3 linked regions of the Rhinolophus ferrumequinum genome follow. The protein of the gene in region 1 interacts with the protein of each later gene in a biochemical or structural test. Links are inferred from orthologs where the notes say so. Each region holds a gene or a part of one and is shown on either strand. Other genes may lie near its edges. The genes, in order: EID1, NR0B2 and FBXO21.

Region 1 (10,549 bases):
AAGAGCAATTTCATTATCAGAGCTAACAGACTGTATGTTGGGGGGTGCAGATGCAGGACAGAGAGGGAAGGTGATGTTAGGGTTAATGTTCTAGCTAACTGAACTTGAAGCAGAAAATTCTTTCTTTCAACCTGTGAGAGTGAAAAGCTTTCCACAATTTAAACATAGTTGTTTTCATCTTGGATGATTTCTGATAATATGGTCTGTGCCTGTTTTCATTGTGAACCTTATTCTCAAAAACCAGCATTGCTGAAGCAAACGTAAAAGACATACAGGTATTGGGCTGAATGTGTATATTAAAAAAAGGACACGTTTGGACTTGATTTTTTTTTTTTTTTAAAAAAACTAAATTCTTTGTGTCAGGTTATTTATATGTAGCAAAATCTAATTTTTCCTTGTCTAATATGTAGTGATTCAAGACTTTTAATATTTAATATTTAAGGTTTTACTCTATGGAGTGTGCTGTTGATCAGGGACTCAAGGAAGGTTTAACGTATACTTAGCAGTGAGAAAACACTGAGAGATTTTGAGGTCACATGAAATCCTGGCTTTGCCGCCAATGAGCACGTTACCCTGCCACGCAATTTTCCTCATCAGTAAAATGAAGATTATAGTATTCATGGAGTTTCTGAGAAGATGGATTTAGCAATATTGTAGTCTATATCTCATAGGGTTATTTAAAGGATTAAGTAAGATAATGGATGTAAATCACTTAGCACAGTGCCCGTTACATGGTACTTATTACTTACTCAAACATTCTTCCCTGAGAACTTTTTATGTACTCAGTACTTAACAAGGGAAGCATATTATAACATATAATTATATATTTATCAATAACATATAAGTACAGTTATATACATTTTGGCTTCCATTTTTTTTGTCAATAATTTCACTTGTGGTTTTGAGGGCTGCTTTATTTTCTAAATTCAAAAGCAGAATAAAATACATTGATTACACAGTAGTATAAGTCATCATAGAGGAAAATGCTTAATGTGAAACAGTTCAAAATAGATTCCTGTCCAGTTGGCTCTTCATTGGTTATCCAAGAGAGGTTATACTGTTAGTATAATGACAGCAGAACATTTGGGACTGTACTTGGAAGATGCAATTTTTGAGTAGAAGGTAAAACATTCATTCAGTCTTTCGGATGCTGTGCCCTTAAGACATTTGCAGATGTAAAATTTATTTTTAGCTTTCACCCACGTGTTTGGTACCAGGGTTACCCAATGCTTTTAGTTATGAGATCTCATTGAGTATAGGAGCCCTTGAATTATGAGTTTTGTAGGAGAGGAAGAGTAGGAAGAACTAGAGCCAATATGTTGACAGTCATGTGCAGAATCTAATGAGCATTTTAAAAAATGGCTTCCCATTGGGTGACTAAAAATATGGTGATTTAGGAAGAATAGGGCTGTGGTGTGTGGTAGGGGGCTTAGTTTATTCTTAGCATTTCCTTCTCCTCCACGACGTTTTTCCAGGCCAATGAGAGGTGGTATTGCCACACACCCATAATCTTTGTGGCAGAATAGTAGGGACTGTGGGCATGGCTGGATTCCACGACCTGTAGTTATAGCAATGAGGTACCTTTGGGAGTGAATCACCTTTTCTGCACTGGTAGCACGGAATGGAGTTGTATTCAGCCCACTGCTAGAATGGGAACGAAAGTCAGGATCTCACTGATAAAATGTAATAGCTCAGGGACGGCCGGATGGCTCAGTTGGTTAGAGCATGAGCTCTGACCAACAGGGTTGCCGGTTCGATTCCCCTATGAGCCAGTGAGCTGTGCCCTCCCCAACGAGATTGAAAACAACAAGCTGCCATCGGGGTGGCTGTATGGCTCAGTTGGTTAGAGCGCGACATCTCAACAAGGTTGCCGGTTAAATTCCCGCTTGGGATGGTGGGCTGTGCCCCCTGTAACTAAGATTGAAAACAGCGACTGGACTTGGAGCCGAACTGTGCCCTTCACAACTAGATTGAAGGACGACGACTTGGGAGCTGATGGGCCCTGGAAAAACACACTGTTCCCCAACATTCCCCAATAAAACAAGAAACAAAACAAACCCATAAGCCATAAAGTGAAGAGCAATAATTGAAAAAAAAAAAAGTAACAGCTCAAGTAATTTTGAACTATTCTGCAGGCCTGAGGGAAATGGCTTGGGGTGTGGGGCTTATAAAAAAAAGACGTGTCGTACTCTGGATGCTTCAACTTGAAAAACTTTATATATCCCATCAAGAGGGCAACTAAGACGTTCAAGGGGTGAAGGCAGCAGAGACGCGACCTTATGGATGCAGCATGAGAAAAGGATTTATTAAATTCTCCTTAAAGAAAGCTACCCTTTGAAGTTCTAAGATAAATACAAAGAAATACTAATGCCCCCCGCCCCTTAACATCTAAGATATACTTTGGACTGAAAACATAAACAGGTTCAAGTTTGTAGAAACATTCATAGATAACAGAGCTTTTATGGATCAGATGGTTCATATTTATTTTCAGCCACTGAGAACTTCAAAAATAGAACTGATTTCCTCCCAGAAAATGTCTCACAGAACCTCAGAGGCAAAGATAAAACTATATTAAACATGTAATGCTGCAATTTTTAAAACTTACATTTTGGGATGGGAAAACACATTTTCGAAAAGCAAGTTATAGGGTTTTTTGTATATTCCTTGTTTTAAAAATTTAAAAAACAGACTTCCTTGACATACTTTAATATATGTAGTGTTCTAAACAAAAATGTCAGTCTCACTAGCTTCTACTCCTATCTTTATTAATTTCTACACTTCTCCCACCAAGTTTAACAACTACTGAAATTGAGAAGGGTAATAAAGAGATTAAGAAGGTAAAACAGGCAGAAAACTTAAGACATCCTTTAGTCTCAAGTATCTAGAGAGGCCAGGCAGGTAATGCAAACTGTTCAGGTACAAGAAAAAACAATGGTGCAAGCACAATGATAAATGGTGAGTGCCACTTGGATACCATGTTGGGGAGACAACATTGGGGAACATGGAAAACAATACCTCCCCTATATAAAGGTGAATCAGATACTTATGACCATGTCACTAAAGGTCAAAGATGGAAATCTAGGAGTTTTGCTATTCTTTCTCACATAAGTGTTGGTTTTTAATTAAGAAATTAAAATTATAAGCATGAACCAAATGAAACAGATGTGTCCTTAGGGCAGCCAATGTGGGATATGATTTAAGCAAACATTTATTGTACGTATGAATAGATTCAGTAAATGCTCCCCAAATCACACTACATGCTCATCAACTTTTTTAAGTTCCCTCTACTCACATCACAAAATCAGGATCAGAATTTCCCCAGAACTGCTTTGTTTAGTTCCCATCAAATGAAGATATACATGTATCTAATCCCAATTTTTCGTTAAGGACCCTGAAGCAGAAAGATCAAGTAATTTAAGCTAGTAAGTAGTGGAGACTAGATTTGAACCAGGTAGGTTAGTTCCAATCTGTGATAACTTTTATAACAGAAATACATTTGATTTTACACCCTTACAAGGGGTATTAAAAATATTACCATTTTCTATCTTTAGTAAATTAACAAGTGTTAATTTCAGTGATCTCTCAAGTTATTGTTTATTTTTAAAACCAACCACCATCAGAGGAATCAGCTGCGGAGTTCAGCAGGTCTTTCCCCACAAAATAAGCCTTCAAACCCAACAGGGAGTTTTCTTTTCCTGCTCCCTACTTAGTCCCAGAGAAGGAATCACACCTCCGGGTTTGTAAACCTGTTTTTTCTAAGCCTGTTTCCTGGCATCTTTACCTAGAGGTAAATGCAAGTAGTGAGTTCATTGTGTATTGGCCTCCAGTTTTTATTCAGAGTACTGTTAATTCATATCACATAAGCAATTATTTATCCAGTCTTCTGACTGCAACTACAAATTGTCTGAAAATGCAATGAAGGAAGTGAGGCATGGGGGAGGCAGTGGGATTAAGACGTTTGTCACCTCCTGTGTAGTCTTTCCCCTATCTATCTTCTGCCCCTCCAAGCTAGTGTTTGAGTGATTGTCATCCTTGTTAGTCCCCTATTTTACAGAAAAAAATTCCTCTGAAAGGAAGGATGACTGTACGATAAATTAAGGTTCTGAACTGTCCTGTTGTATTGGATGTGTCCTCTACAGCCATAATGGAGCAAGAACATCTAGTAGTTTGATTTACTGGTCACAGGCTTCTGACATAATCATCATAGAACTTTAGAACGTTAATAACCACAGCAACATACTCATTAATAGCGCAGGTTTCCCCAGGTTGGCAAATTCTTACAGGAATTTACTGTTTAGTTTCCCAAGTTAATTTGTAAATCAGGTTTTGAAGCTGGAGCACGTTCCCTTATAAATTGTGGTTAAATTGAGAGCATAAAGTGGTTGCAATACAATAAAATAGTATAATACAATAAGAAATAATATGTAAAGTATGTATGCAATGCTATTAGCCAAACAAAATACACAGAACAAGAAATTTTATTATCTCGAATGCTGGTGCATAACCAATAACAAGCTTCATTAGAGGAGGAGACAGAGGGAAACTTCAGAAACTTCAGGTGGATTTCTGGACAGGTTTAAAAACCTTTAAAAGTTGATGGCATAATTGTTCAGTCTTTTTTAAATGTAGGGCTTTCCTTTTACTTGACAATTTTCACTTAACAGTTCTTGTTAAAAAGTTCAACCAGTCTTTTGCCTGTAAAGTTAAATGAAACCAGAGAGCAAGTAAAACAGAAAATTTCTCTAGTATATAACAATGTTAGAAGTAGTTTTTCTTTGTTCTTTCACATACATTTTAATGTCTAAATTTGAAAATTTACTAAGGACTTTCTCATTTTTGACTTTTAAAAATGGTCAAGACAATGAATTTTCTTGAATTACGGCTCACAGTAGCTTTATAAATGATCAAGATACATGTACAAAATTTCAGATGTTCTTGGAAACATTTTAAGATACAGCACACATGATACATATTTCTTTTTGGGTTTGCTTATCCTTCTGGGAATACTAAGAATATTCAACTTATCAGACCCTATAAAAATTTAGCCTTGCTAGATCACAAAGTGGAATCTTCAAAGTTTTCTTATCAGGTTTTCAGTCCAAATAACTCAAAGACATCTCATTTCCTAAGTTGGAAGTTACTTATTCTTTCCTAATTAGTATCAGTGGGCTCTTGTACTGGCAGTTTGTCTTGGTCATGATTTATTCTTGCAAAACCATCCCGTAAAGTGAAACAGGAAAAGTCACTTCCCCCAATGCAAAGAAAATAATCTGGATTAATAACAAAGTCAAAGCCATACGTGTTGCAGGACATTCTTGAAAACAGGTTTCGTCAGTCCTCAGATCCTTCTTCTTTGTTTTCTTTTTCACAACGGTGCAGTCACAGCCCTATTCTATTCTGCAAAACAAACAGACAAAAAACCATTTTCTGGTGAACATCCAGTTCTTCATTGGCACGGAACTATTTGGAATAAACCCGAGAGACAGTGGAATGTTGGGTCTCTCCTCAAGTAGTTTCCTCCTCTGCTACCTGCATGTAACTACTCTCTGTCAATAATCTCATCACAGCCGAGTTCTTCGGTCAGACGATTGACAACCATGAGTGAAAAAAGCTCTTCAATAAAAGCCAACTGATCAAACGGGGTCTTCTCGTAATGCATCTGAAAACCGCCATCCAGGGCTGCTTCTCTTGCTCTGGAGGTTCTCAGAAACATCTTGTTGGCTTCTTCCAGGGCTGCGGAGACTCTGTAGCCTGCACCACTCAGTTGCTCCTCTTCCGGATAGTCGTACTCATCCTCCCAGTCATCAAATTCCTCGCCCTCGTCCTCGCTCTCGAAGTCAGGGCCTGCGATCTGGCCTGGCTGTTCCCCGGGGTTGGGGCGATTAGCAAGGCTTCGTTCCCCCTTTGGCTCCGCCATTGGCTGGGCCGCCTCCTCCTCCATCGGGCCTTCTTCCTCGAGCTGTGGCGCGGCCCCGTTGCGGGAGGGGTTCGGGGATGGCTCCCGGCTCCCGCTGCCTACCTCCATCTGCGGAAGGTCACTCTCGCCTGGCATCACATCCATCTGCAGGTCGTTGCTCTCCTCATACAGCTCGGACAGCTCGTTCATTTCCGACATTGTGCAAGCGGCTCAACCTCCTGCAAGGCGTTTTCGACCAGATCGGAGTTACGCGGCCCCGTGGTTGTGCGCGTGCGCGAACGGCGTGCGCGACCTGTGCGTCTGCGTGACCCCCAGACACCGCCTCCCGCTGGGCGCGCCGGTCGGGCGGGAGCCGCTCGCGGTAGTGCCCCGTGGCCTGGTGGTTTATGTGTGGTTCCATTGGAAATTCACACCTAAAAACTGCATACGAGAATATTAATTCGTCTTCGCCTTACTTAACCGTTCTGCTGCTTATGATGCTATAAACCGGAAAATATGTGCCCGCCTTAACAACGCTTTATCCTCCCCCTTGTCCTTTCCTCCCCCTCGTCCTTCCTCCTGCTCCTCCTCCCACCACCCCGGGCAATCGCATCTGCTCCTGTTAACTACCATTTTACTGTCTGCTCTACTGGCTTCTAACTCCGCTCCTCCAACCACACACACTGTTCTCAGCCACAAATCAGCATGTTAAGAACTGATGCATTAAACACTTTTTCAATTTTTCTCATTAGAAAAAGTTAAATTTACAAATAAGTATATTATCCGTGTCCTTTTACAAAAGTTAATACTGAGAAAATACTGGGTCCCATTTCTTTTTACACGAGGTAACCTTACACTATTATTGGTGTGTATCCTTTAAATCCTTTTTCTTTGCATTTACATGGATCTTAGGTCCTCGTGGAAAAAATCTTCCTTTTTTAAAAAACATGTCTCACATAACTGCCTTCAACTTACAAAACAAACCCCTCAGCAGTGTCTTGAAGATTTAGCTTTGTTAGTACACATATTTTTTCATAGCATTCTATTTGTAAAGCTGTACTATAGATGACCTAACTATGCAAACATAGTTGCCCGTTTTTTGATACTATAAACTGGATAAATGAACATCCACATGTGCCAGTGCTTCTCTAGAATAAATACCTAGAAGATGGAAGGTGTAAGTGCAGAATATGCATACTTTGGTTTTAATAAATACAGTCAAATTGCTCTCCAAAGTTCCTGTACAAATTTAAGCTCTAGCCAGCAGTGTTTGAGAATATCCACACCCTCGCCACACACAATTTTGTTGAACATGAACAATTTTATCAATTTAATGGTATCTTGTTTTATTTTGAATTCTCTTGATTTCTTGGAGATTGATTATTTTTTAATAGGCTTATGGAACATTTGTGTTCTGAAAATCAACTGGCTTTGTTTTGGGTTTCTTTCTTTTTCTTATTGATTCATAGGGATTCCATATGAGCTCTGTATATAAATACTTCTGTTTTACATGTTCCAATATATTCTCTCTTCCTGTTGTTTGTATTGTTCCAGGAGTCTTTTCTTATATAAAAGTTTTAAAATGAGGTTTGTTTTTTTTTAAAGATTTTATTGGGGAAGGGGAACAGGACTTTATTGGGGAACAGTGTGTACTTCCAGGACTTTTTTCTAAGTCAGGTTGCTGTCCTTTCAATCTTAGTTGTGGAGGGTACCGTTCAGCTTCAAGTTGTCCTTTCAGTCTTAGGTGTGGATGGCGCAGCTCAGCTCCAGGTCCAGTTGCCATTGCTAGTTGCAGGGGCACAGCCCACCATCCCTTGCAGGAGTCGAACCGACAATCTTGTGGTTGAGAGCCAGCGCTCCAACCAACTGAGCCATCCGGGAGCTCAGTGGCATCTCAGCTCAAGGTGCCATGTTCAATCTTAGTTGCAGGGGGTGCTGCCCACCATTCCTTGCGGTACTGGAGGAATTGAACTGGCATGCTTGTGGTTGAGAGCCCACTGGCCCATGTGGGAATCGAACCGGCAGCCTTCGGAGTTAGGAGCACGGAGCTCCAACCGCCTGAGCCACCGGGACGGCCCTAAAATGAGTTTTTAAGTAATCAAATGTGAAGGTTTTTGTACGTTTCTTTCTGTCTATTAAGATGGATTTTTCTTACCTCAGAGACCACAAACATAATCTTTATCTGTCTTCTGATATACTGGTAGATCTTATATGAATCAAACATTTGTTTATTTATACAGATGAGTACAGAATTTATAATATTTATATATTTTTACCATATATATAGCTAATTCAGCCAACTCCACTAATTTAATCACTTGTCCTTTTCTCTGCTGTTTGGTGCCACATTTATTATAGACTAAAAATCCATGAATATGTGAGACTGTTTTTAGACTTTGTATTTTAATGAATTTCTATAGTTTTATAATATGCCTTGCTAATAGGAAAAAATTTGATCTCTGTTCTTTAAAAAATTGTTTTAGCTTTTTTTGCATATTTATTCCATGTGAATTTTAGATGCAGCATGAAAAGTTCCCTGAATGACATTAGTGGAATTTTTATTGGAATTGCATGTAAATTACAGACTAATCTGGGGGGAGAATTGACATCTTCACAATACCCAGATAAAGAAACACCATTTGCAGGGTCCCAGAAAACCACTTGCTCTCCTTTCCTTTGCCCCAGACGTAACCAGTATCAGACTGCAGACAGAGTAAAATAATTTTGCCTGTTTTTGAACTTTATATAAATTAAACTATGTGGCATATATTCTTTGTGTTTGGCTTCTGCCCAAGAAACATGGTGTTGCTATGTAGTAGTTCATTGTTTAAATATCACAATTGTCACTAGTGGATTGTTTCCAGTTGTGGGCTATTATGAAAAGGAGAGTCATTTTCTTTAGACTATCTTTTGGTGTTCATATTTACACAGTTCTGTTGGATATACATCTAGAACTGCTTTGTCATCGTAGTATAGAAGCAACTTTAATAGCTCCGAATCTACTTCTGAAGGCAGTATTAGCTAATAGGTACACAGTTGGTATTTTAATGAACCTTCAAAACAGTATGATAAATGCATCTCTGGAAATTGGGATTGTGGGGATTACAAACTGTGGGGATTACAAACAAGCAACCCTAGAATATCAACTAAAAGAGAGAGTCTTCTTGGCTAACTAATGCAGTTCACTCTGATAGTCTTACTTCTTACTGGAAATCTTAATGTTAGTGCCTTAGAATACTTTTGGTGGAGAATGACTGCAGCCCAATTCAAACTAATTTATATAAAAATAAATTAATAAGTAATATAGAAAAAGAGATAAAGGGTGACGGGAAATGTATTGGTTGAAAGGATGAATCAAATGTTACCACCAGACTTTTTTCTATTTTTAAATCTCAGCTGATTTTCTCCAGAGAGAAAGCTTCATTTTGCAGCAGGCTTTTCCCACATGTCAGCAAAAGATGGCTGACTCCCAGAAGCTTTGGGCTTACACGGTCCTTAATGGCAGAGAGAAATGTATTCTCTCCTGTTGTCCATATCAGTTCCTCCCCAATGACATTGATTGGTTCTGCTGTATCCAGGTGTCTTCTGATTGGCCTACGTCTTATGTCCACTTGCAAGGAGAGGGGCAATGAAATGGGCATGTCAAATACATCTAAGTGAGATTATTATAGAATGTGGGTGAAGTGGTTTCCAAAGGATGTCGTCCAGGCAAAAACAAAAAGAAATGTACATTACTGTTAGATTGTATGTAACTAGGAATAATTAATTTAGAGCATCATACATGTTTAATTTGTTTATGTTTTCCAGATTATTGCAAATCATCATATGCAGTCTATTTCATTTGCCTCTGGAGGGGATCCTGTAAGTATGGATTCATAAAAATTCTTCTATATAAGTTAAAAGAATTTCTACATAAAGCATGTTAGACACTACATGTCTTTTCTAAATATCTTATTATAATTTGTGAATAGCTACATATAACAGGTAATCAAAAATGTGGTTTGACAAAATATTTCCTGTTACTGATTTTAAAAATAGTTGGATTAGTAGATTATCTAATAATACTTCATTGTGTTATTAGCCATGGAGTTATCTTTTGAGAAGCTTCTTGTAGATAATATCAAAGTCATGAAAAACAAATGTGTTATACATCTGTTGCAAGTCCTTTCTCAGAATTCTTCTCAACACAGAGTTCCAAGTAGATCCTACTAATCATTTGGATTTGGCAGATGAGGAGAAGCCTATCTGCCATACATGGCAACTAAGTCTAATCTAGAATGAGCAATGAGGTTTGCAGAAACTTATGGAGGTAATGCTCAGCTGGGGAGAAAGAACTGCAGTTCCTCCCTACCACGAGGCCGCGTAGGGCTCATTTTCCATGAATGGTGCAGGACGGAGCCAGTGTTCTCTCTGCAACCTACTTTGCAGAATGAAGGGTCATTCTCTGACTCTGTACTGCATCATTTCTGGACCAGAGCAAAAGGAGAGGGGTAATGAAAGTAGGAATCCTGTGGCTGAACAAGATGCAAATCTATTTAAACTAAGGTAGTAGAAGGAGGTTTCTGCTCTTCCATGACATCGTGACATTTTTCTTGTATCTGCAAACATACAGAAGATTAGAGGAGGGGACAGTCTGACTTTCATGATTGATCA
Region 2 (10,812 bases), on another chromosome or scaffold:
GTGGGGGGAGCCTGGCTAGAGTCGCCCGGGTTGGCGGGCGCCGCTGGACCAGGCCAGGCCGACGCCTAGCGGGCCGTTACCTCCGGCACGCCGCCCTCGTGCTGCTGCGCCATGGCCAGCAACATGCCGTCGAACCGCTCGTTCTCTTGCTCTCCGCCCATCGCGCCAGCCCCTAGCCAATCTTCGAGTTTCGAGCTTCGTTGTTGCGTCCCGGGTTTTCCAACCTCGTTTGGGTTGTGTCCTGCCCAACGGCTCTAGTCCTCCGCCTTCCGCAGCGGAGCCGGAAACACGCAAGTGCTCCGCCGCCCAGCCCCGCCTGCTTGCTCTCTCTCTTCCCGCCTCCCTCCCGACTCGCGACCATTCAGCGCGCGCAAACAGTTCGCTTCACCGACCATTGGTCAACTTGCTGAGCCAATCAACGAGCGTGTCCATGAAGTGGTGGGCGGAGCCGAGAGCGCCAGAGTTTGGCGTGAGTTGCTATGGTCACCAGATGCTCTGGAGCCTTCCAGAAATCCCTGAGCTAAAATCTGGCGGGGTTGGAAGTTAAAAAGGGACAGACTTTGCTCTTCCACCTTAAGAATGCCCTCAAAGCTTGTAAAACGGTGAAGCTGAAAGTGTCCTTAGCTCTTCCAGTCCTTCCATGGGGCAGTGGAGGCCAAGAAAGAAGGGACCTGCCCAAAGGACCGCCGGTCTCCATCATCATCACAAACTCTGCCAGGACCAGCTTCATGGGTATACAAACTGAAGTTGCACTGGCCCTGGGCTTAGACGAGCTCTATGCTTGGTTTAATGCTCTTCTGTTGCAGTCCTGAAATTTTAAATAATTTTTTAACAAGAGACCCCACGTAGTCATTTTGCACTGGGCCCTGAAAATTATGTAACGAGTGTTGTATTCTACCTTTACTACTGTTAATGTGGGGGACAGGTCGCAGCCTAAGGGCAGTCTCTAAGGGCAGCCTCTCCACGTTTGCAGTGAATTTCATCATCTTAGTCTTTTCAGGGATTCTACCCTTGGTATTATCCTTTTTTAAATCTCCTGTATCACAAATTTCTTTCTTCTGGATCATTCCCTTCAACTTACAAACGTGTTTTCATGTCACTTACCTTTTTACTATTTTATGACCCCACTTTCTCCTCTTATCATATCACCCCAATTTTCAGTTCTCATTCATAGCAAAACTTGAAAAGATGACTATATTTGTTTCTCCATTTCTTTACCTTCCATTTCTCCTTAATTTACTCCTCTTTTCTTAAAAGACTGACCAAAGTTAAAATAACTTCCATATTGCCAAGCCAATGGGCCACTATTATCTTTCTTGACTTCTCAGCTGCATTTGACACAGGTTACCCTGTCTTCCTTTTGGAAACACTTTTTTTCCCTTAGACTTCTGTTATGGACAGAATTGACTTCCCACCAATTCAAAGGTCTGACAAGTACACGAACTCATCCTAGAAAAAGTGCTACATATGTACCTCATTGCTGAATATCACTACGGCCACCTTCGAAGTACTCCCCTTGGAAAGCTATGTACCTATGCCAGCGCCTAGTTTACGTTTCAAAGCAATTTTGGAACTCTTTTTCTGGAATGGCCATCAGAGCTGTCGTCGTATTACCCTTAATGTCCTGAATGTCATCAAAATATCGTCCTTTCAATATTTTCTTTATCTTAAGGTAAATAAATAAGTCATTGGGGGCCAGATCATGTGAGTAGGGAGGGTGTTCCAATACAGTTATTTGTTTATTGGCTAAAAACTCCTTCACAGACAGTACCATGTGAGCTGGTGCATTGTCGTGATGCAAGAAGCATGAACTGTTGGTGAAAAGTTCAGATCATCTAACTTTTTCACACAGCCTTTTCAGCACTTCCAAATACCGTGTTTCCCCAAAAATAAGACCACGTCTTATACTGTATTTCCCAAAAAATAAGACTGGGTCTTATATTAATTTTTGCTCCAAAAGACACATTAGGGCTTATTTTCAGGGAATATCTTATTTTTTTCATGTACAACAATCTATATTCAAATACAGTCATGTCATCTTCTTCTGAGACATCGTCATAACATACTAAATGCATCTGTCTGGCTGACGATCTCAACTGGGGCTTATTTTTGGGGTAGGTCTTATTTTCAGGAAAACACAGTAGTAAACTTGGTTAACTGATTGTCCAGTTGGTACAACTTCATAATGAATAATCCCTCTGATATCAAGTTCACGAATGTAATTGTCAGACCTCATATACATACATATTTTTTCTTTTTAATTTGAAAAAATAAAAATTTAAATTGATTAAAAATTTGTTGGTTAGGACCACTGTTTCTTCCCACTCTCATCCCACTTCCCAATATGAATGATTCCCAAGACACCTGGAAATACGTCGGTGATGGGGGAAGAAACAGGGTATGTGTAGAACAAAAAGCAAAGCTGCACCAAATCCTATCACTTAGTCATCACTAAGTTGTCATTTCATATTGACACCAACTCAAAAGAGAAGTTCTCTCCTATAAGGAATAATGCAGCATATGCAATTATAAATGCTTCATGCATATTTTTCTTTTTTGATAAGAATTACACAAAGTAGAATTTATGAAAATTCCTACTACAAACCTATAAACAGTGCTACAAGTAGCATATACATCTATGTGTGAAGTTTATGTCTCTTATCAAGAATGAAATTTTGTTGATCAATCCTGCGAGTGAAAAGATAAAATCATCTCTCTAGTCTCACTGTAGAAATTTATTTTTAAAAATCATTGACAGCTCTACCTCCTCCCCTTCTTTTCTCTTCCTGAAAATTTCAGTCCTAAAACTATTAGGTTGTGTGGAACAAGGTAGAGGTATGCGCCCCAAGTAGAGGAGGCGGGAGCCACAGTGGCCCAGAGCAAAAGTCAGAGCCCCAGCATGGTGAGGAGGGTGTCCACACAGAGCGGTGACCTGGCATGGGTGACAGGGGCTCAGTAGGGAGAAGAAGGGGGTCCCTGAGTGGCAGGTGGCAGCCTGACACAAGGTATCAGAGCCCAATGGGTGAGGAAGGTATCTCATATGGGACAAAGTGGTGGCAGAAATGGAAGACTGGTTAAAAACAAGGGCTTGATGCAACAGGTTAATAAATTAAGAATAATGGAAGCCAGATTGCTCAGTGTCAGAAGATGGAGGTATAAATGGAGATGAAAACTACAATAACCCCCTTTACGGTGTATTAGAATTGGAGATAATAGTCTGAACTCATGGTTTTTTAATATGTATAAATAATTAATAGAACTAAGTATGAATGTGTGTGTGTTTGTACGTGAGCACATGTGGGCGTTTCTTAGCTCTGGGAGGGCCTGGGAGCAGTGACACCTTAATTGCAATGAGAGGGTCTTGGTTTCTAGACATGGCTCTAGTGCCCAGATTATGGTTTTTAAATACTGTTCTCCACTAAAACATTGAATCAGAGCTTCTTGGAGTACTGACTGATTCCAGAGGCTGGAAAAAAGACACCTTGTTATACCAGAAAATAAGGGATGTTCGAGGAACAATGGGGAATGTCGAAAGGATATATATAGACTCAAGCTTGAAGGGGCTCCCATTGGCCAAATCTGTGACAATCTGAGCATCAAAATAAATAATGATAGTAATAGATTACAAACCACTGAATAAAGTAGGAGACCATGAATTCATATGTACATACGTACATACATACATACATACATACATCAAAGTATGAGGAGGAATAACTACATAGTTTCAAAGTGCCTCCTTACAAAATACTGATTCGTTACAAAGGAGAAAGAATAACTATAGTGGAGAAGCCTGGCAGACATCCCTTAAGTGACCAAAGTGAACCATGGGCCAAATGGAGAATAGTCAAGAAGAACACAACATCAGTTTTGTGATATTGCTACTAAAGATACATAATTTGAATCTAATCAAATTGAGAGTCTTGTTACAAAATAACTACAACTCTTCAAAAGTGTCAAGGTCCTGAAAAGCAAGGAAAGACAGAGGGAAAGTTTACTGACTGACAGACCAAGGAGACATGACAAAGAAATGCAATGTGAGATTCTGGACTGAGCACGGTCACTGTCACTGATTTCACAAGAGCATTTGGTGAAACTGAAATGGGGTCTGAGATTAGATATTACTTTCCTGATTTTGTTCATTGTTAATTTCCTGCTTTTGATGATTATATTGTGGTTTTATAAGAGAATGTCCTTGTTTGTAGGAATTACACACTAAAGTATTTGAGAGTTCTGGGGCATCAAGTTAGCAATTTACTTTCAAATGGTTCAAGGTAAAAAAAAAAAAAAAGTTCCCTGTACTGTACTTGCAATCTTTCTGTGTTTGTGATGCTTTCAAAAGAAATAGTATTGACATGTGAAAAGGTGAGCAAAGAGGGTACAGCTAAAACACGTAGGCAAATATTGTCAGGCAACCAGTAAAAGTATCTTGCTATTCTCCTGGGTTTGTGACATTTGTATTTTCTGTCAGTTCATTTTAGTTTGTAATTGGTAGTGATTTGTTTTCGTATTTTAAATATTCACTTCTATACCTGATTCTCTATTGTTAAAGAGGGTCCTTCAAATTGTATAAGCTTCAAGCCCCATAAACCAATATCTACTATTGGCCTTTGTTGCCACCCTTTTAAGGATGAGGAAACTGAGGCACAGAAATATAAAATGACTTGCCCAAGGTCACTCAGCTAAGTGATGAAGCAGAATTTGGACCCAAGCAATCTGACTCCAGAGTCTCTTTTGAGGGGACGCTGTGGAAAATTCAGTGAGAAAAAGGATGTGAAAGGAACTTTATACATGTTAAGATTAAGACAATTCACAATCAAATGAAAGAGGTGTGCCTGTTTGTCTGCTGGGGCTTAGTTCCTTAGACAGAGGCAATGGGGGAGCAAAGTTCTACTGTATGCCAAAAACTGCTTGGAATTTGACATCCAGGACCTCACTTTGTCCTCACAGCAGCCCTGCAGGCAGGCATTACTGTTTCAAATGAAACTCCAGAGGCCCACAGAAATTTGGAAATCAGCCCATGGTCACACAACTGTAAAGTGATAGAGCCAGGAGCAGATGCCAGGGATGGTGATGGCTGCCCAGGCTGGGCTTGCCAAGGTCCACAGACATGACACAGCCGAGGACCTTCCCGCCACTCTCACATAATATGCCCCACTGTCTGAGACAGAGTTGCTGAGTGGTTGGTAGCAAAGCAACATTTCTGCCTAGATCATAAGTGGGCAACATCTGCAGACCAGGCAGCACCAAGGTAGGGGTCCAGGTAGCCACCAACTCTGGGAAACTCAGGCCACACAGCTCTTGCTGCACAATTGGGCCAGTAGATTCAGGGGAACAAGCAAGGACTTTGAAATCAGATAGATCTGGGCTCTGTCTCTTCTTAGTGGCATGACCTTGGACAAGTCACTTCCCCTCTGTGAATCTCAAAAAGTAAAAATCTTGCTTCATAAGGAAGCTCTGAATATTAGAGTGGAAAGTAGCACATAGAAAGTGTTCAATAAACAGTAGCCATATTACATTATCATTCTGCCAGTGCTTCTCAGCAGATACGGCCTTTCAGGAGCTCTAGGAATACAGACTGGGGAGAGAGAGTTCATTTCTGCAGGGCCCCCAGAACTGGAGTCAGAGGAAGGGGCCTCCTAAACTGTTCAGTGGGCAAAGTCCTCCCCAGCCCCCCAGGGTCCCGGCTCCCTTCTCTGCAGCCTGTTCCTTACCAACAACAGGAGCTAGGCCCCAAGGTTAGGCAAACAAATCAGCGATAAGGCATTTCCAGGTTGGGCCTTGCATTCAAGGCTTGTCCAGCTCTGGGGCTGACTTCCCAGCTTAGCAAAAGTCCTGCAGGCACCAATAGGGACACCTGCCATGGCCACCTGCTGATTATGCACCTGAGGCCTTGGTGCCCTGGTACAGCCTGGGTTAATGACCCTGTTTATCTGCTTGAGTCATCTGATAAGGGGCAGCCGGCCCAGCGGACAGGTGGCCCCATGCCTTGCACCGACCACTTCATTGACTGAAGCCTATCAGGGCCACGTGGAGCTCTCAAGGCCCCCGCCCCCAGCACTTCCCCACCAGTCCTGCCAGGGTCAGTGTCTTTCTTTTTTTTCAATGAATATGACTTCTGGAGTCAAGGTTGTTGGGCTGCTCCCCCCTCCTCCCCATTGGGAATATAAATAGTGCCCACAGTGCAGAGGGCGGGAGAGCAGGAGGAAGGAGGAGCATTTCCTCCACCATGAGCTCCAGTCAGCCGGGGACCTGCCCATGTCAGGGTGCTGCAGACCGCCCAGCCATTCTGTACGCACTCCTGAGCCCCAGCCTTAGGGCCAGGCCCTCTGTGCCCCCTGCCCGCAGCCACTGCCTGTGCAGGCAGCACCGGCCTGTCCGGCTGCGTGCTCCCCATCGCACCTGCAGGCAAGCCTTGGACGTTCTGGCCAAGACCGTGGTCTTCCTCAGGAACCTGGCATCCTTCTGCCAGCTGCCCCCCCAGGATCAGCGGCAGCTGCTGCGAGGCTGCTGGGGCCCCCTCTTCCTGATTGGGTTGGCCCAAGACACTGTGACCTTCGAGGTGGCGGAGGCCCCGGTTCCCAGCATACTCAAGAAGATCTTGCTGGAGGAGCCCAGCAGCAGCAATGCAGGCAGCGGCCAGATGCCGGATCGGCCCCAGCCCTCGCTAGCTGCGGTGCAGTGGCTTCAGTGCTGCCTGGAGTCTTTCTGGAGCCTGGAGCTGGGCCCCAAAGAATATGCCTATCTGAAAGGGACCATCCTCTTCAACTCTGGTGAGCTCTCAGACATTCCAGGATAAGGGCCGAGGCTGGAGGGGGGCAGGGCCCAGCCAGGGAAGGCACCTTTTAGGGGTTTGACATTCATTATCTCTTTGGGTCCTCTTTATCTCCAGTCATCTCACAAAAGAGGCTCACAGAGGCTAAATGATCTGCTGAAGGTCATAGAGCCAGGAAGGGGCAGAACAGGGATTAGAATTCAGGTCTGTACATACTAGAGATTGGCCCTTACCACTCTGCCCAAGAAGCTTGCCCTGACACTCAGGAAAAGAAGGAGTGGGGGAGGGGAGGTTGGGCAGACACAGCTATGCCTCAGTCAAGGTAAAACTGTGGGTTCAGAAAGACCACACAGAGAAGAGGAAAGAAAATGAGGGAGTGTGGGGAAGGAGTCTTTGTACCATTTAGCTAGGAGAGCAAGGGATAGAGGTAGTGTTGTTTGTAATTTGGAGAACATCTCGATAAGAATTCCTCACCAACAGGCCCTCAAGGAATACGTAAATTATAGTAATTAATTATAATAATCTAGCGAAATACTCATATTACACTTACTGTATGTTAGGCCCGATTCCATTTTTTACATATATTAGCTCATTTAAACCTCATAACAAGCCTACAAGATAGGAACTATTATTATACCCATTTTACAGATGAGGAAACTGAGGCACAGAGATAAGATAATTTTCCCAGTGACCTCAGGTCTGGGGCCAGTCTCGCCCTGTGGTGGCTGGGAGTGGGATGCTCACCAGTGCTCTTCACCCTCTGCCCGCAGACATGCCAGGTCTCCATGCCTCCTCCCACATCTGGCACCTGCAACAGGAGGCTCATCAGGCACTGTTTGAGGTCCTGGAGCCCTGGTGCCCAGCAGGCCAAGGCCGGTTGGCCCATGTCCTCCTCACAGCCTCCTCCCTCAAGTCCATTCCACACAGCCTACTTGGGGACCTCTTCTTTCGTCCTATCATTGGAGATGTTGACATCGCTGGCCTCCTCGAGGACATGCTTTTGCTGAGCCGACCTGCTCCAGCCCAAGCAGAGATCAGGTATAGTTTGGGCAGAAGCTGGCAGCGCTGATTTGGCCCAGCTGCCCCCAGAAGTGACCCAATGCTCTGAGAGGGGGCAAGCCTATTAGAGAGCACTCAGCCCCCTAGGAGAAAGCTGGCCCTAGCCCAGCCAGACGGACTATGTGCCCTCTCACTCAGCCACAGCCTGTCTTGGTCTTCCTTGGTTTGGACACAGTGCTCCAGCTGTCTGGCCGGCCCTTGGAGGTCCCCAGAGTCTCTGGGCCAAGAATCCTGTCCTCTCCTGGGATGGAGACGGAAGCTTAGACGGCTCATTGGGCCAAAAGTCCTACTGACTGTACAGAATTGACTTAAGTTATTGGTTTTTGTAATAAAAGGCTTACACCCTTGGAGGCTGACATTGTATTTTGTACATTTGGAAGGGACCATCTCACCGCCAGGGTCCACCCTGCCCCCATCAGAGGGAGCCCAAGAGGAAGGAACCATAAGGGGTGCAAGAGCCAGACCTCAGAGAACCAGGATATTAATTTTCAGAGTGGAATGATGATTTCATTTCTGAGGATGGGATTGATTTTGCACATTTCTGAGTCCAGGGGATAGGATCAGTTCAGGACCCCGTCACCTCCTTGCCTTTATTTCTGTGGGGGGAGCAGTTTCTCTTTGTCCCCAAACCCCTCACTGACCCCTCAGCTCCTGCCCACTACAGGCGCCCAATCACAGACAATAAGGAAAACAAAGCAGCCCATTCCCTAACTGAAATGGACAAGGTCACTGGAATTTCTGCAGTTCGGCATCATCCACTTCCTCCAGGCCTTCAGACAACAGAAGAGGATGGCCTATTGTTCTCCCAATGGGAGGGGGCAAGGGTATCCAGGGCTGGCCTGGCTACCGCCTTGGTTTAGCTGCCATACTAGCTGTTAAAGTCTAAAACATTTCCACGACAGTTGGTTCACAGCCACTGCCCCAAGCCCTCCTGAGCTCCTTTCCACTGCCCCTCTGTCCCTGGAATCCATTCCCACTGTCCAGCAACTAGAGAGGAAATGCTTGGCATAGCCATGGCCTCCAGGACTTCTCCATTCAGGGTGTGGTTTGTGTCTGTTCTGATTGGTCAATCTCTGTTCCTCAGCGTTTGTTAAATATTTTGGATATCACCCAGGTCAGGGTGACTGACCTGCAGGATGGACAGGAGGGAATGATAACAACACACATGCCTATAGGACCCCCTTTCAGGCCTCCTCCTTTGTCCGGCAATAGGCCTGCCTAGGCCAGGCCCCACCCCCTTCACCACCACAGTTTGGATTCTTCTCACGGGGGCCAAGTTAATTATTGCTGAACGAGAGGTCATTCACTCAGGGACAACAGTCTAGGAATCGATTCATTATTCAGTCCTCTCCCTAAGGCCGCCAGGACAGGGACCACAGCTGAACTGGCCATGTACCAATTACGGGCACCCGGTGCCAGCAGCAAGGGCACCACTGTCCCTTACCCTATCATTCACTCACCACTCAGATACCCAAAATGAGACAGAAACACACAGCTTAGACATCACAACAAAGACTCACACAACTCAGACTTACAGCTTTCTCTTTCACACACACACACACTAAATCATACAACTCAGACATGCCTAAGCAGACCCGTAAAACACACCCTCCATGAACCCACACACAGCGTGGAAATACAGGTACACTCACTCAGTGACATACAACAGACCCAAACACATTCACACCACAGAGACAAGCACCCAGGCCAGACAATCACACACACAACCCTGCGCCCACAGGTAGGACACACACCATGGAGATACCCTTACACCAGGGCATGTTCTCCATCTTCTGTGTGTCACAGGGAAAGGAAAAGTGGCCCCCAAAGTAGGTAGACCTGCATCTTCACATCTTCCAGGTCTACCCAGGCCAAACTGCTCTGCCAGGGGCTCAGGACCTCAACTAACCAAGCATCCCCTTTTCCCACGGCGACCCCAACAGCCACTCCACTCTCAGCCAGACCCTGCCCTGCTCAACAGTCCGCTCAGGCATGAGCTAATCAAACTCCCAAATGGAAGCATCCATTAGAGCTCACAACAAGCCCTGCCTCTCCCCTACCCACCCACTCCCCACAAAACCCCTAGACCCAGACCTCAGGCCCCCAGGCACCTCTCCCTGCCCTGCTGTGCACTTTGGCCCACACGGCCCCACCTCACCTTGCAGATGCAGGAGGCAACTCTTTCAAGAGGAGGTGCCTCGTCTCCCGGTAGGATCTAAATCCAGCAGATCCCAGGATTCCCGGGTTATTCTATCTTTTATGGCCCTTCACACACTGATTCCATTAGTTTACTGTTGCACCTCTCTGAATCCTCAGGCTGAGTCTTTCACCCCGCCCCTCCGCTAAGCCTGAACAGCCATCCATTAGAAAGTGCTCCTCTGAACTACCCACCACAACTTGTTTGCATCATCCAAATAGCTTCCCTTATCAGCCCTATCTTTCCCCTTTTCAAATTCCTTCCCTACTCTTCCCTGTGGTCTGGGAGCTACATTTCTGTCTGCTTCTCACATGTACCCAAGCTTTCTGGGAGGACTATAAAGACAAATAGAGCAAAACTAAAGAGAGAACTGTAGTACAGTGTAATAAGGAAAAGAATGCTTTCTCCATGAGACTGCAGGCTTTCCAAAGGTGGAGGCTATTTCTCTGTTACCAGCATCTTAGGAGGGGGACCTGTGTCTCATAAACCAGGGAGGTAGAGGAGGAAACAGGCTCAGACAAGGTGAGCAACTTACTCAAAGTGTGGGTAAATCACTGTGCTGGGATTTCACCTCAGGGCTGTGGGATGCTGGAGGCCTGGCTCTTGCCACCAGCATAGGCTGGAGTGACTCATGGCCAGGATCAGGTTGTCTGGAGCCAGCTCAGCTACTGTTTACTGACCATCTACCTTTCAGCCATGATCTCTGTCCTCAGGTCCAGCCAAGGATGACTCACTAGGAAGTAGGGTCAGCCTCAGGTACCATTTTATTATCATTATTACC
Region 3 (10,812 bases), on another chromosome or scaffold:
GTTCTACACTGTAATTACCTGCTTGTCATAAAGATGAGAAGTTTTCTTATTCCTTGAGACAAAAGCAATTAGGTAGCACCATGAGTATCCCAACTACCAGGTAAGCTTAGGATGAACTAGAAAAGAGTTTACAACAAAGGTATAGTACAGTCAAGTCCTCTCACTTGAGGACAAGTTACCATGAATCTCGAGAGTAGGTATGTAATGCAGTGCTTGGTTGTATATAAAAAGGGTAGGATTTCTCTCTGTCTTTGCAATCTCATCAGCAGATTACCTGTGATGTACCCCACAGTCTGGTTTAATGCTTGTTCAATAAGAAAACTATTCTCCTGGGGCGGCCGGATGGCTCAGTTGGTTAGAGCGCGAGCTCTTAACAAGGTTGCCGGTTCAATTCCCACATGGGATGCTGGGCTGCGCCCCCTGCAACTAAAAATTGAAAACGGTGACTGGACTTAGAGCTGAGCTGCGTCCCCCCATGACTAGATTGAAGGACAACAACTTGCAGCTGATGGCCCTGGAGAAACACACTGTTCCCCAATATTCCCCAATTTAAAAAAAAAAAAAAAAGAAAAGAAAGAAAACTGTTCTCCTTTACTACAGTGGCGGCAAGGATTTTCTAGATTGGCAGGAGATTTTAATTTTTTCCCGACAGCATCTTTGGTCAGAAGACAGGAAGAAAGAATGAGGGCCAGGACATCATTGATAAGAAAGCAATAGTCTTTCCTAAGAATGGCTTACCGATCATTTGTGCAGCTGTGGGGTCTGCCTTGCACCTAACAGGTTGGAAGCTGTTTATCAATGTCTGAGTGTTCTCAGGGCCAGGGCAGAAGCCATGAGAACAGTTGGGAACCACAGTGCAGACGTGGGCTGGGACAGTGTGAGCCGAGACAAATCTAAGAAATATTAGGATCTTTTAGAAAATGGCCTCCCTGTTCCAGAAACAGAGGCACAGAGAACTTAACCTCTGTTGGGCATTTGAACATGGATAGTGCTTCCCAGCACACTTAAGATAAAATCTTAACCATCTTTCCAGGCCCTACAGTATCGGACAGAGGTAAGTACAGTATGTACAGTGGTTGAGAGCCATGCAGCAACAGTAACTGATACATATTTTCATTTAATAGGAAGGTCTATTGTTATCCCCATTTTATAGGTGAGAAAACCAAAGCACAAAGATATTAACCGCTAGGGACCATTTGGATGGTGAGGTGCCAAACGGTGACGAGTTCCGGTTTTGCCGTAATAGATGGAGTGGCACCCTTTCCTAAGGCAGGAACCACTGGGAGAAGACAAGGTAAGTGGGGAGGGGGAACTGTAAGTTCAGTCCCAGATAAGTTCAATTTCAGGGGCCCAAAGGAAATGTCAGGTGAGCAGTTGGCTGGCTAAGCAAGGCTGGACCTCAGAGGAGTGAGCCGGGCCAGAGAGAAACGTGGACATTTTAGCTGAGCTTGGATTGTCATTCGAGATGTCGACAGAGGTGAGAAAAGTGAAAGAAGGGGCCTGTGGCTGTGCCCCATGGTACCCTAACATGTACCATCTGGGTGAGACGGCAAAGGAGACTGACAGGGAACAGCCCTAAAGAGAGGGTAGGGCCACAGAGGCCAAGGTGAGTCAGCATTTTTGAGAAGAAACAGCATGGTAAACAATGTCTGCTGATGCTGTGGAGACGGCAAAAACAAGGCCAGGGAACGCCCACTGAATTCAGAGGCATGAAGGTCCAGGATCTAGCCCAGATCTGCCAGACTCCAGGGGTTACTCTAAATCTTTCTGTTTTAATGACCATAGTAGCAGCAGCTGCAGTAACACTGTACGCCCGCCCCAGCCCCAATTTCCTATTTTGAAGCCCTAACCCCAGGACCTCAGAATGTGACTGTATTTGGTGACAGGGTCTTTAAAGAAGTAATTAAGGTCAAACGAGATCATTAGGGTGGCCCCCTGATCCAATAGGACTGGTGTCCTTATAAGAACAAGAGTTAAGACCCCCACACGCACACCCACACATACCACGTGAAGACACAGAGGGAAGATAGCCATCTACAAGTCAAGGAGAGGCCCCAGAGAAAAACAACCCTGCCCACACCTTGATCTCAGACTTCTGGGCCTCCAGAACTGTGAAAAAATAACTTTGTGTTGTTTAAGCCACTCAGTCTGTGCCACTTTGTAATGGCAGCCCTAGCAAACGAATACAGGCAGTAACATAGTTTCAAACACATTTATTGAGATGAAAGTCACATAACATGAAACTCAATAGTGAATGATTCAGTGGCATTTTAGTACATTCACAACGCTGTGCAACCATCACCTCGGTTGAGTTCCAATACATTTCCATCAATCCAAAATAAAATCCTGAGCCCATGAAGCAGTTGCTTCCCATTCCCCCAAAACATGCTTTTATCAAGTGTGTTCTGTGTGTCAGGCACAGTACACATGCACTTTATATAAACATACTCATTTAATTCTCTCAACAGTCCCAGGAGGCCAACATTATTATTATTATCCCCATTTTACAGATGAGAAACTGGGCCTCAGAAAGGCTAAGTAACTCGCTGTAAACAACTGGTTAGATAACTGTAATCAGCAAATAATTATTGAGAATCTGCTGTGAGCAGAGCCTGTGAAAAGTAACTGGGCATCCGGACAATCCTGATCCTGAAGTTGCTTCTGATCTAGTAGGAAAGATGCAGGTTGAACAGTTATCAATTAAGTAAATAAGTACACGACTGCAAAATGCTGAAAAGGTGCCGTGTCTGGCTCTGGGGCTGGGATGAGAGAAGGGAGGAAGAGAAGAGCAGCCAGAAGGAGGGAGTGCCGGCATAAAGCGCATTCCAGGCAGTGGGAATAGTACACATGTGAAGGCCAGAAGTGGGAGGAAAGAGATCAGCCTGGCTGGTAGGGTTAGTGAAGGAAAGAATGTCTTCAGACAGGCTTGGAGTGGTAGATAGGGGTCTGTGTCTTTGCAACAATGTTAGGGATTTCAGATCCCTAAGGGCAAGAGAGAGAGTCATGGAGGCAAAACAACATCCACAGAAAGTAACAGTTACTAGTTCAATTGTCTCAGGGCATTCTGCTGATTCCAGGTTGGGGAGGAGGAGGTTAGTGAGCCCTTCAGGACAACAGTACTGACAACACATTGTTCTGTACCTGTGTGTCCCCGCTACCTCCCACCCCAACTGGAGTTGGAGCTCCTGAGAGGCAAGCACACCATCTTACTCACCTCTGTATCCCCAGGGGACAAAGCACAGTGCCTGGCACTAAACGTACCTGAGTTTTCTTTTACGAGGGCAGACACCGAAAAGAGTACCCACCCACACCTGAGTGGGAACTTCTGCCTTGAGAATTCAAATCTACCACTTTTTGTCTCTACGACTTTGAACCAGTGACTCCCAACTTTCTGAGCCTTGTTTTCTTTATCTGTAGAATGGGTACAAATATGGTACCTACCATAGAGGGCCCAAATGAGGAGTCCTTGAGGAAGGCATGTAAAGTGCTTGGCACAGCATCCACTCAAGAATATTAAGTTTGTGATCACAGCATGCTAGTTTAGAGTACGGTCAAGCAGAAGTCAAGAGGATCTGGATTAGAATCTAGAACAAGGGAGTCTGAGCAAGTCTGTTTATCTCCCTGAACCTCAGTTTCTCTATCCGTAGCTTGGGGACAATAATGGTTTAAGAGGGTTATTGGGAAGGTTCGACGAGCTCCTGCACAGGAAGCGCCCAGCACTATAAGAAAGATGGATGTTGTCATTGTCATTGTCGGTCCACGGCTCCAAGGCCCACAGCCCAGTTACTTTCCAAAACGCGGTACTTTCCCGTCGCCAAGGCGCAGTCCTCGCAAGTACCCTGGGCAGAGGGGGTGGAGCTACCGGCGTGGGCAGGGCCATCCTGGGGCCCGCCCCTCAAGGCAGGTGGGCGGAGCGAAGTGGGGTTCCCCCGGCGCGCGCGCACAGCGGCCCCAGGTACGCGGACAAGATGGCGGCAGCAGCGGTCGACAGCGCGATGGAAGTGGTGCAGGCGCTGGCGGAGGAGGCCGCGCCGGAGACGGCGGGCCTCAGCTGCCTCGTCAATCTGCCCGGCGAGGTGCTGGAGTACATACTGTGCAGCGGCTCGCTGTCGGCGGCGGACATCAGCCGCGTCTCCAGCACCTGCCGGCGGCTGCGCGAGCTGTGCCAGAGTAGCGGGAAGGTGTGGAAGGAGCAGTTCCGGGTGAGGTGAGCCTGCCGCCCTGGCCGCTGGTGCCCTGGTTCTGCGCCCCCGGGACGCGCGGGCTTGGCTGGCCCGAGCCGCCGCCTCCTGGCCCGCGCGCGGACCCCACCCCGGATGCCACCCCCAGACCCCTTCCCGGGGACCGACAGACAAAGGCCTCCAGGCCGCCGGCCCCTTGGGTCCATGCCGCGCGGACCCTCCGGTGCCCAAATTGCGCATCGGGAAGCGCCCAGCAGCCGGGCCCTCCCTAACGGATGACGACGGTAGTATCGCAGCTCATCCATTCTGCGCGCTTCTTTTGTGCCCGACACTGTGCTAAAATGTTTACACGGATCTGGTGATGCGGTGATCCCCACAGCCCTGAGAGGAAGCGGGCGCAGCATCCTCTGGTTGGTGGTTGAGAAGCACAGATTTCGGTGTGGACCCGGGATAAAATCTGGCCCTGGCATACTCGCCGTATGACCTTGTGGGCAGACTTCCCTTTTTTGAGCCTCGTTCACCGACTTGGCTGATAATTAGACCTACCTTTGACTGTGCTTATTAAATGAGATGTGTAGGGAGCATTTGCCAAAGGGCCCAGCTCTTAGGAGGCGCGCAGTGCATGTTAACTGTCATTGTCATCGCTATTATTGTATTATCGCTACAATTGTCCCCATTTTATAGATGCAATGGAGACACAAGCATTCTTATGGCAATGCCAAGGTCACTCCGTGAGCGAGTGCGTGCGTGTTGGGTGGAGATTGGAACTGGGTCCATCACCAGGGCCCCTTGACCACTAAACCATACTGCTTTCCCTGTTTTCCAAGGCTGCCTTTGATTCCTGCCTGCCTGCCTGCCTTTGAGTCTCTGTTAAGCTGAGGGGGTGTTTTTCTCCTTGTAGGTGGCCTTCCCTTATGAAACACTACAGCCCCACTGACTACGTCAATTGGTTGGAGGAGTATAAAGTTCGGCAAAAAGCTGGGTTAGAAGCCCGGAAGATTGTAGCCTCGTTCTCAAAGAGATTCTTTTCAGAGCATGTAAGAATCTGTTGATGTGGCTCTAAGCTTTTGCCTGGTCGTGGTGTGTGTGTCTGGGTTTGTAGGCATTAGCTCATCCAGCTCTTTTTGATATCTCCCTTTTCAGTGCTCTCACAATCCCTTACTCACTTAGATGGCTGCAAGAGTCATTGTGTCCTTTTCCTCCCATCCAACAACATGAAGCCATTTGTCCCTGCCAGCTTTACTTTTCTAAAGCCAGAGAGAGAATGGGGGTGGAAAAGGAGGGAGGGACCCACAACACAATGTAGAGGGATTTTTTTTTTCTCTTCAGCGTTATTTCTCTTCAAGTGGGTTAGCCATTTTTTTTTTTTTTTGCAGCCTCCACATGATTAGGGGGATCATTGATGATTGAACACTACAAATCTCACCCAGTTGTTTTCCCAGAAGGCTTGACGAAATTAATACGGTTCTTCTCTCTGGCTTTGCAGGTTCTAACCAGTTGTGAACTGCATTATTTGTTAAGCTAATAGGATTAAAAGCTATCTGTAAATCAAAATTATTGCTCCCTCAATTAAATTGTCTTACTTTTATTATCCCTGAAAAGTTTTTTTGTTTTTGTTTTTGTTTTTTAAATATTGCTGAACTGCATGGTTTTGTTTTTGTTTTTACTTAACACAAAGCGTTCACAGGTCCTGATTCTTAACTTTTTGTGACTCTGGAAAATAGTCCACCCCAATATTTTAAATTTATTTCTGATTGGGGGTCTAGAAATACAGCCAGTCTTACTTATTTTATTCTCCAGGTTTACTGAAGATGAAGTCCTATTTTCTAAATTCAATTACTATTACTTAATGGAGTTCATACATTTGAAATATTTTCAAAGCTTGTCAAGTTTTGAAAGGGAACGTTCAAATTTTGAACTTTGGACAAATTTGAATGCATTCTTCTGTGGAGAATAAAATTAGGTATTCCTTAGTGCAATTCATCTCTATAAATAAATGTTAACGTTAGAAGGGAAAAAGTTTATTTTCTACTTGGAAAAGCCATGCCCTAGCTAAAAGCATGCATGATCACAGATGTTAAATAACTGGTTGAAACGTTGTTTGCACACACATGTATTTGGACCAAGTGTTTGATGCACTTGGTCACGGGCTGCTAGTTTGCAACCTCTGCTTCTAGTCCAGCTGGTTTTGTGTGCATTTTGAACAGCCTGTGCCTTTGTCTGATAATAATGAATTGTTATGTTTCTTCCTTAGCTCCCTCTTCCCTGATACCACTGCTTAATTAGAAGTACGTCAAGTACTTTGAACAACGCAGGAGTGTACTTAAGATTGATCTGTGGGTGGGTGACGACTTTGGCTCAGGACCCTTGTATTCCTGTGTTCCCAGCATGCACACAGGTTGACATGAAATTCCCTGGCTACCTTCAAAAAGAAAAGTGGCAGAAGTGTTAGACTTTTAAACTGAGGGGATCTTAAAGCTTATTGGTACCACCACCTTGGTTTACAGAGGAGAAAACATGCAAAACATGCTCGGTGGGTTGAGTTGCCCAAAGCACTAGACTTCTCTCTCCGGCCCCTCCCTTCTTGAGTACAGCATAGCCTGCAGGAAGTAGTTCTTGTGAATTCAGAAATTTTATATTTCTAGTTCTTGTTTTTTTGTTTGTTTGTTTGTTTTCTTAGTTTCAGGGGTACAAAACAATGTAATAGACATTTGCACCCCTCACAAAGGGATAACTCCCCTCCCCCAATCTACTGCCTCTCTGACATTGTATATAGCTGTTACAATTTCTAGTTCTTGTTTCAGAGCTATTTTTCTTCCCATTAGAATTCTTGAGTTACCAGTTTCAGAAATTTCAGTGTATGAAACTATCATTAATTTACAACTAACAACAAGATTTAAACAAATTATTGTTACTTTGCATGTTACTTTCCACCCATGGTAAGTGGTGCAAAAGAATATAGGATAGCTGTTAACCACTTCCATGAAAATGACCGTCTTTCTTTGCCGCTCAGATTTGTGTATGAGAGTGACAACGACATCATTACTCGTTATTGAGGCCTGTTTGTATATGTCTTCTTCATAGGTCCCTTGTAATGGTTTTAGTGACATTGAGAATCTTGAGGGACCAGAGATATTTTTTGAGGATGAACTGGTGTGTATCCTAAACATGGAAGGAAGGTAAGCCATAGTTATAGCAGGGGTTTTTTTGGTTTGTTTGTTCATTTGTTTTAATAATAACCCCAGAATTAATTGCTGTAATTTGTATGTGGCCGAACCATGGGACATGTGTTTCCGAAATTTCATGTGTTGCTACAGTTATATTTATTTAAAAATTCTGTATACTGAGACAGTTGATATTTAAAGAAACCATGCAAAAATCCTTTTGGAAAGAAGAGAATTACTAGTATGTATTTTATTTAGTCCTATTGTGGGCCAAATACTGTGCTCTGGGCACTTGTGTCTATTATGTCATTTAGGTAACATAAATTATCCTTCCTTTATTATCACCTCCGCCTACCACCACCAAATTTGCCTATCGTGCATTGAATATTTAAAAAAATAATTTCTTGGGCATGTCTTAATTGAATGGATAATTTGTTACAGTTTCTGAATTTGGGGAAGAAATAATGTTACTTTGACCACAAACACTAGAGATATTTGGTTGAGCCATTCTTTTATCTCTCCTTATCAAGAAGGATCCATTATCTCTTGGTTGTTGCTTTAGAATTTTTATGACTCGTATTTTCTGCTGTGGGGGTTAATTTCCAGTTTGCCTGAAAAATGACTTGCTTCCAGCCTAACTTACCTGTGAGAAAGATTCTCTGCTCTAAAAGTTCTGAAAACTCTCCTAGTGATGAAAGATAAGAATGTTAGTTTAGGATCTTCCTTGAGAGAGGTTATTGGGAAATACCTTACAAACAAGGCATAAGATATTTTTCTTGTTGTTTTTAAGGCAGTTTAGGGATGACACGTATCTATCAGTGGAACAACTGTAGGGGAGAGGTAAGATGTGTCACTGTTCTAGGCCTCGGATGAATTCAGATGCAGAGGTCATTTTTCTGTTTCTATTTTGGTTTATCTATAAATGAATTGGAGTATGATCTAACAGTATTGTGCAGCCTTAAAAATAAAAGCTGACCTGTCTTTTTTACATATATACCCACATACTTTGAAATACATAAATGTAATATACAGACTGAGTTTATTGTTTAATTAAAAAATACTGTTTTGTAGTATATACCATAAGTTATTTAACCACCCCTCTATTGTAGAGTAACCGTTTGCTTCTCCATTATTGTGTTACTGTGGAGGGTGATGTTTTGGTGGTTCCTTTTCTCAGTAAAAGGTCCCTGGGAATAAGCTTCCTAGGTCAGACTATAGGATATTATTGAAAAAACATAAAATAAGAGCATGTTCTTGAATGGGAAGACTGACCATCATAAAAACGTCAGTTCTTCCAAAATTAATACGTAAACCTATGGCCATTTGAGTTAGGATCCAACAAGAGTTTTGGGAGGGGAGAGTTTTTTTAATGTGTGTCTTAATTGGGTAATATTGTCTAGAAGAAGAAAATCACAAGAAAAGCCAGAAAAAAACAATTTTGAAATAATCACAATGGGAAACTTGCATGACTACATATTAGAACATATTGTAAAGCTACCTTTAATGAAAACAATACAGTGTTGAAGTGAAAATTAATAGCCACATCCACGGGAAAGGATAATTCAGAAACATGTCGCAGCATAAAAGATAATATATTTAAACTCAGAGGGAAAAAGATGGACTATTTAATAAATGATATTAGGCATAACTGATTATCCACCTGGAAAAAAATAAAACTTGCATCATATATAAAAACTATTAGGTTGGTGTGAAAGTAATTGCAGTTTTTGCAATTATTTTTAACCTTTTAAACTGCAATTACTTTTGCACCAACCTAATAAATCCCAAAAGACTAAACAACCTAAATTTTATCACAATGAAAATCCCTCAAGAAAATAGGAGATTTTGTATACAATTTAGGGAGACTTCCTTAACCAAGACCAGTAATGCAGAAGCAATAAAAGAATATGGACAAATGATTTTGCAATTAAAAAGTAAACTTCTGTATGACCAAAGAAACCATAAACAAAGTCTTAAAATTTCCAAGAGGAAATTGAAAAATGTCCAAAGGATAGGAGGATGATATCCACCAAACAGCAAATCCAAATGGCTGGTGATCATGTAAAAAGACCTTTAAATTCACTCTTCAAAGAAATGTTAAAACTGTGAAATACTGCTCTTTTACTTACCAGATTGGCAAAAGAGACTGAGTATGCACAGCCATTAAAAACATATATTGTTACAGTCTTTTTAGAAATATAGATATGTTACCCCTTGGCCTGACATATATTTTGAGCCGAAAACAGTGTTGTTTTCAAATAACAAGGGGTATTCTCATATTTGTAAATATTTTGGATTGCCAGTTTTCGAGAAGGACCCTATTTGTCTTCATTCCTGGCAAATGCTTGTTTGGATATGGAAAGCTTAGGAACGAAGAAAAGTAGTTTCTATAAAGCCCCAGTCCCTGGATGTTTGAAAACAATGCATTTGTGGTGTTTTCTATGTGGTCTTGAAAGAGAGTACATTCCCAATAAAGATGTGAAAACATATTAAAAGGGTACATAGTACCTTATAAAATTGACCCAGAATGACCAACACTGAGACATATTTCGATAAAAATACTGATATTAAAGACAGAAAAGTCCCTTGGGCATCCAAGCAAAAAACAAAACAAAAAACAAAAGTCACGAGGGAAAGAAAATCAGAATATCATCATACTTTTCAATAACAATGCTCTGTGACAAAGGAAAAAAGGGTAACATATTTAAGATACTTAAGGATCAAAAATGTCAGCAACAGATTTTTATATCCAGCCAAACTGACTTGCAAGTATAAAGGCCGCAGACAAACTTCCAGGTTGCAAGAACTTGGGGACTTTTGAGCCCATCCTGAGAAATTTGCTAGAAAATGAGCTGTAAACTACCAAATAGTCAGAGAGACATGGACATAAGAACTAGTGGTGAGCATTAAATATTGGTTTACTTGTAGAATTAAATCCAAATGACAGACAGTAGGGTAGAAAGTATTTATGTAATGGCTATAAGCCCTGACAATGTAGAGGTAATATAGTTGTTTGGAAAAAACGAGCAGAGAATGGGGGAGAACACAAGCGAAATATTTAACTTTTTGGTAATCACCAAGGTGATAAGAATATTAGTCTTGTTATTCTGAGGCTGCTGTGTTTTGGAGAGAGGGAGTGAGTGGAATAAAGCAGATGAGTACAGATGACCCTTGAACAACTCGGGTTTGAACTGTGCAGGTCTACTTGATACACAGATTGTTTTCAGTTGACCTTTGCAGTTCAGTTGAGCTGCACAGTTCAAACCCGTGTGGTTCAAGGGTCAACAGGCAGTTGGGAAGCCGCGTTTGCGGAGGGACAATTTAAGTTATAGGTGGATTTTCGACTGCTGCGGGGGTTGGTGCCCTTAACCCCCTTGTTGTTCAAGGGTCGACTGTGATTATGTAACTGGAGAAGCAGCATGCTTCTGGAAGAAAAACAAGGTACAGATATAAAATGGAAGAAAGTA

Evidence for each region.
Region 2: the proteins of EID1 (region 1) and NR0B2 form a complex in vitro, tested with the Homo sapiens proteins (3 studies listed by BioGRID). The link is inferred for Rhinolophus ferrumequinum from reciprocal best matches to the Homo sapiens genes EID1 and NR0B2.
Region 3: of the proteins of EID1 (region 1) and FBXO21, one has a biochemical effect on the other in vitro, tested with the Homo sapiens proteins (2 studies listed by BioGRID, with this or other methods). The link is inferred for Rhinolophus ferrumequinum from reciprocal best matches to the Homo sapiens genes EID1 and FBXO21.

What each region holds. Positions count from the first base shown.
Region 1 is NC_046289.1:58,193,558-58,204,106, forward strand, and holds EID1 (EP300-interacting inhibitor of differentiation 1), read right to left. Parts: upstream 6,200-10,549; 5' UTR 6,116-6,199; coding exon 5,540-6,115; 3' UTR 4,461-5,539; downstream 1-4,460. Other genes in the region: SHC4 (SHC-transforming protein 4), read left to right, coding at 9,704-9,757. UniProt on the Homo sapiens protein: Interacts with RB1 and EP300 and acts as a repressor of MYOD1 transactivation. Inhibits EP300 and CBP histone acetyltransferase activity.
Region 2 is NC_046292.1:18,428,206-18,439,017, reverse strand, and holds NR0B2 (nuclear receptor subfamily 0 group B member 2), read left to right. Parts: upstream 1-6,124; 5' UTR 6,125-6,229; coding exon 6,230-6,773; intron 6,774-7,545; coding exon 7,546-7,844; 3' UTR 7,845-8,184; downstream 8,185-10,812. Other genes in the region: nuclear migration protein nudC, read right to left, coding at 81-161. UniProt on the Homo sapiens protein: Transcriptional regulator that acts as a negative regulator of receptor-dependent signaling pathways. Specifically inhibits transactivation of the nuclear receptor with which it interacts.
Region 3 is NC_046308.1:10,887,788-10,898,599, reverse strand, and holds the start of FBXO21 (F-box only protein 21), read left to right. Parts: upstream 1-3,968; coding exon 3,969-4,207; intron 4,208-5,082; coding exon 5,083-5,218; intron 5,219-7,265; coding exon 7,266-7,360; intron 7,361-10,812. UniProt on the Homo sapiens protein: Substrate-recognition component of the SCF (SKP1-CUL1-F-box protein)-type E3 ubiquitin ligase complex.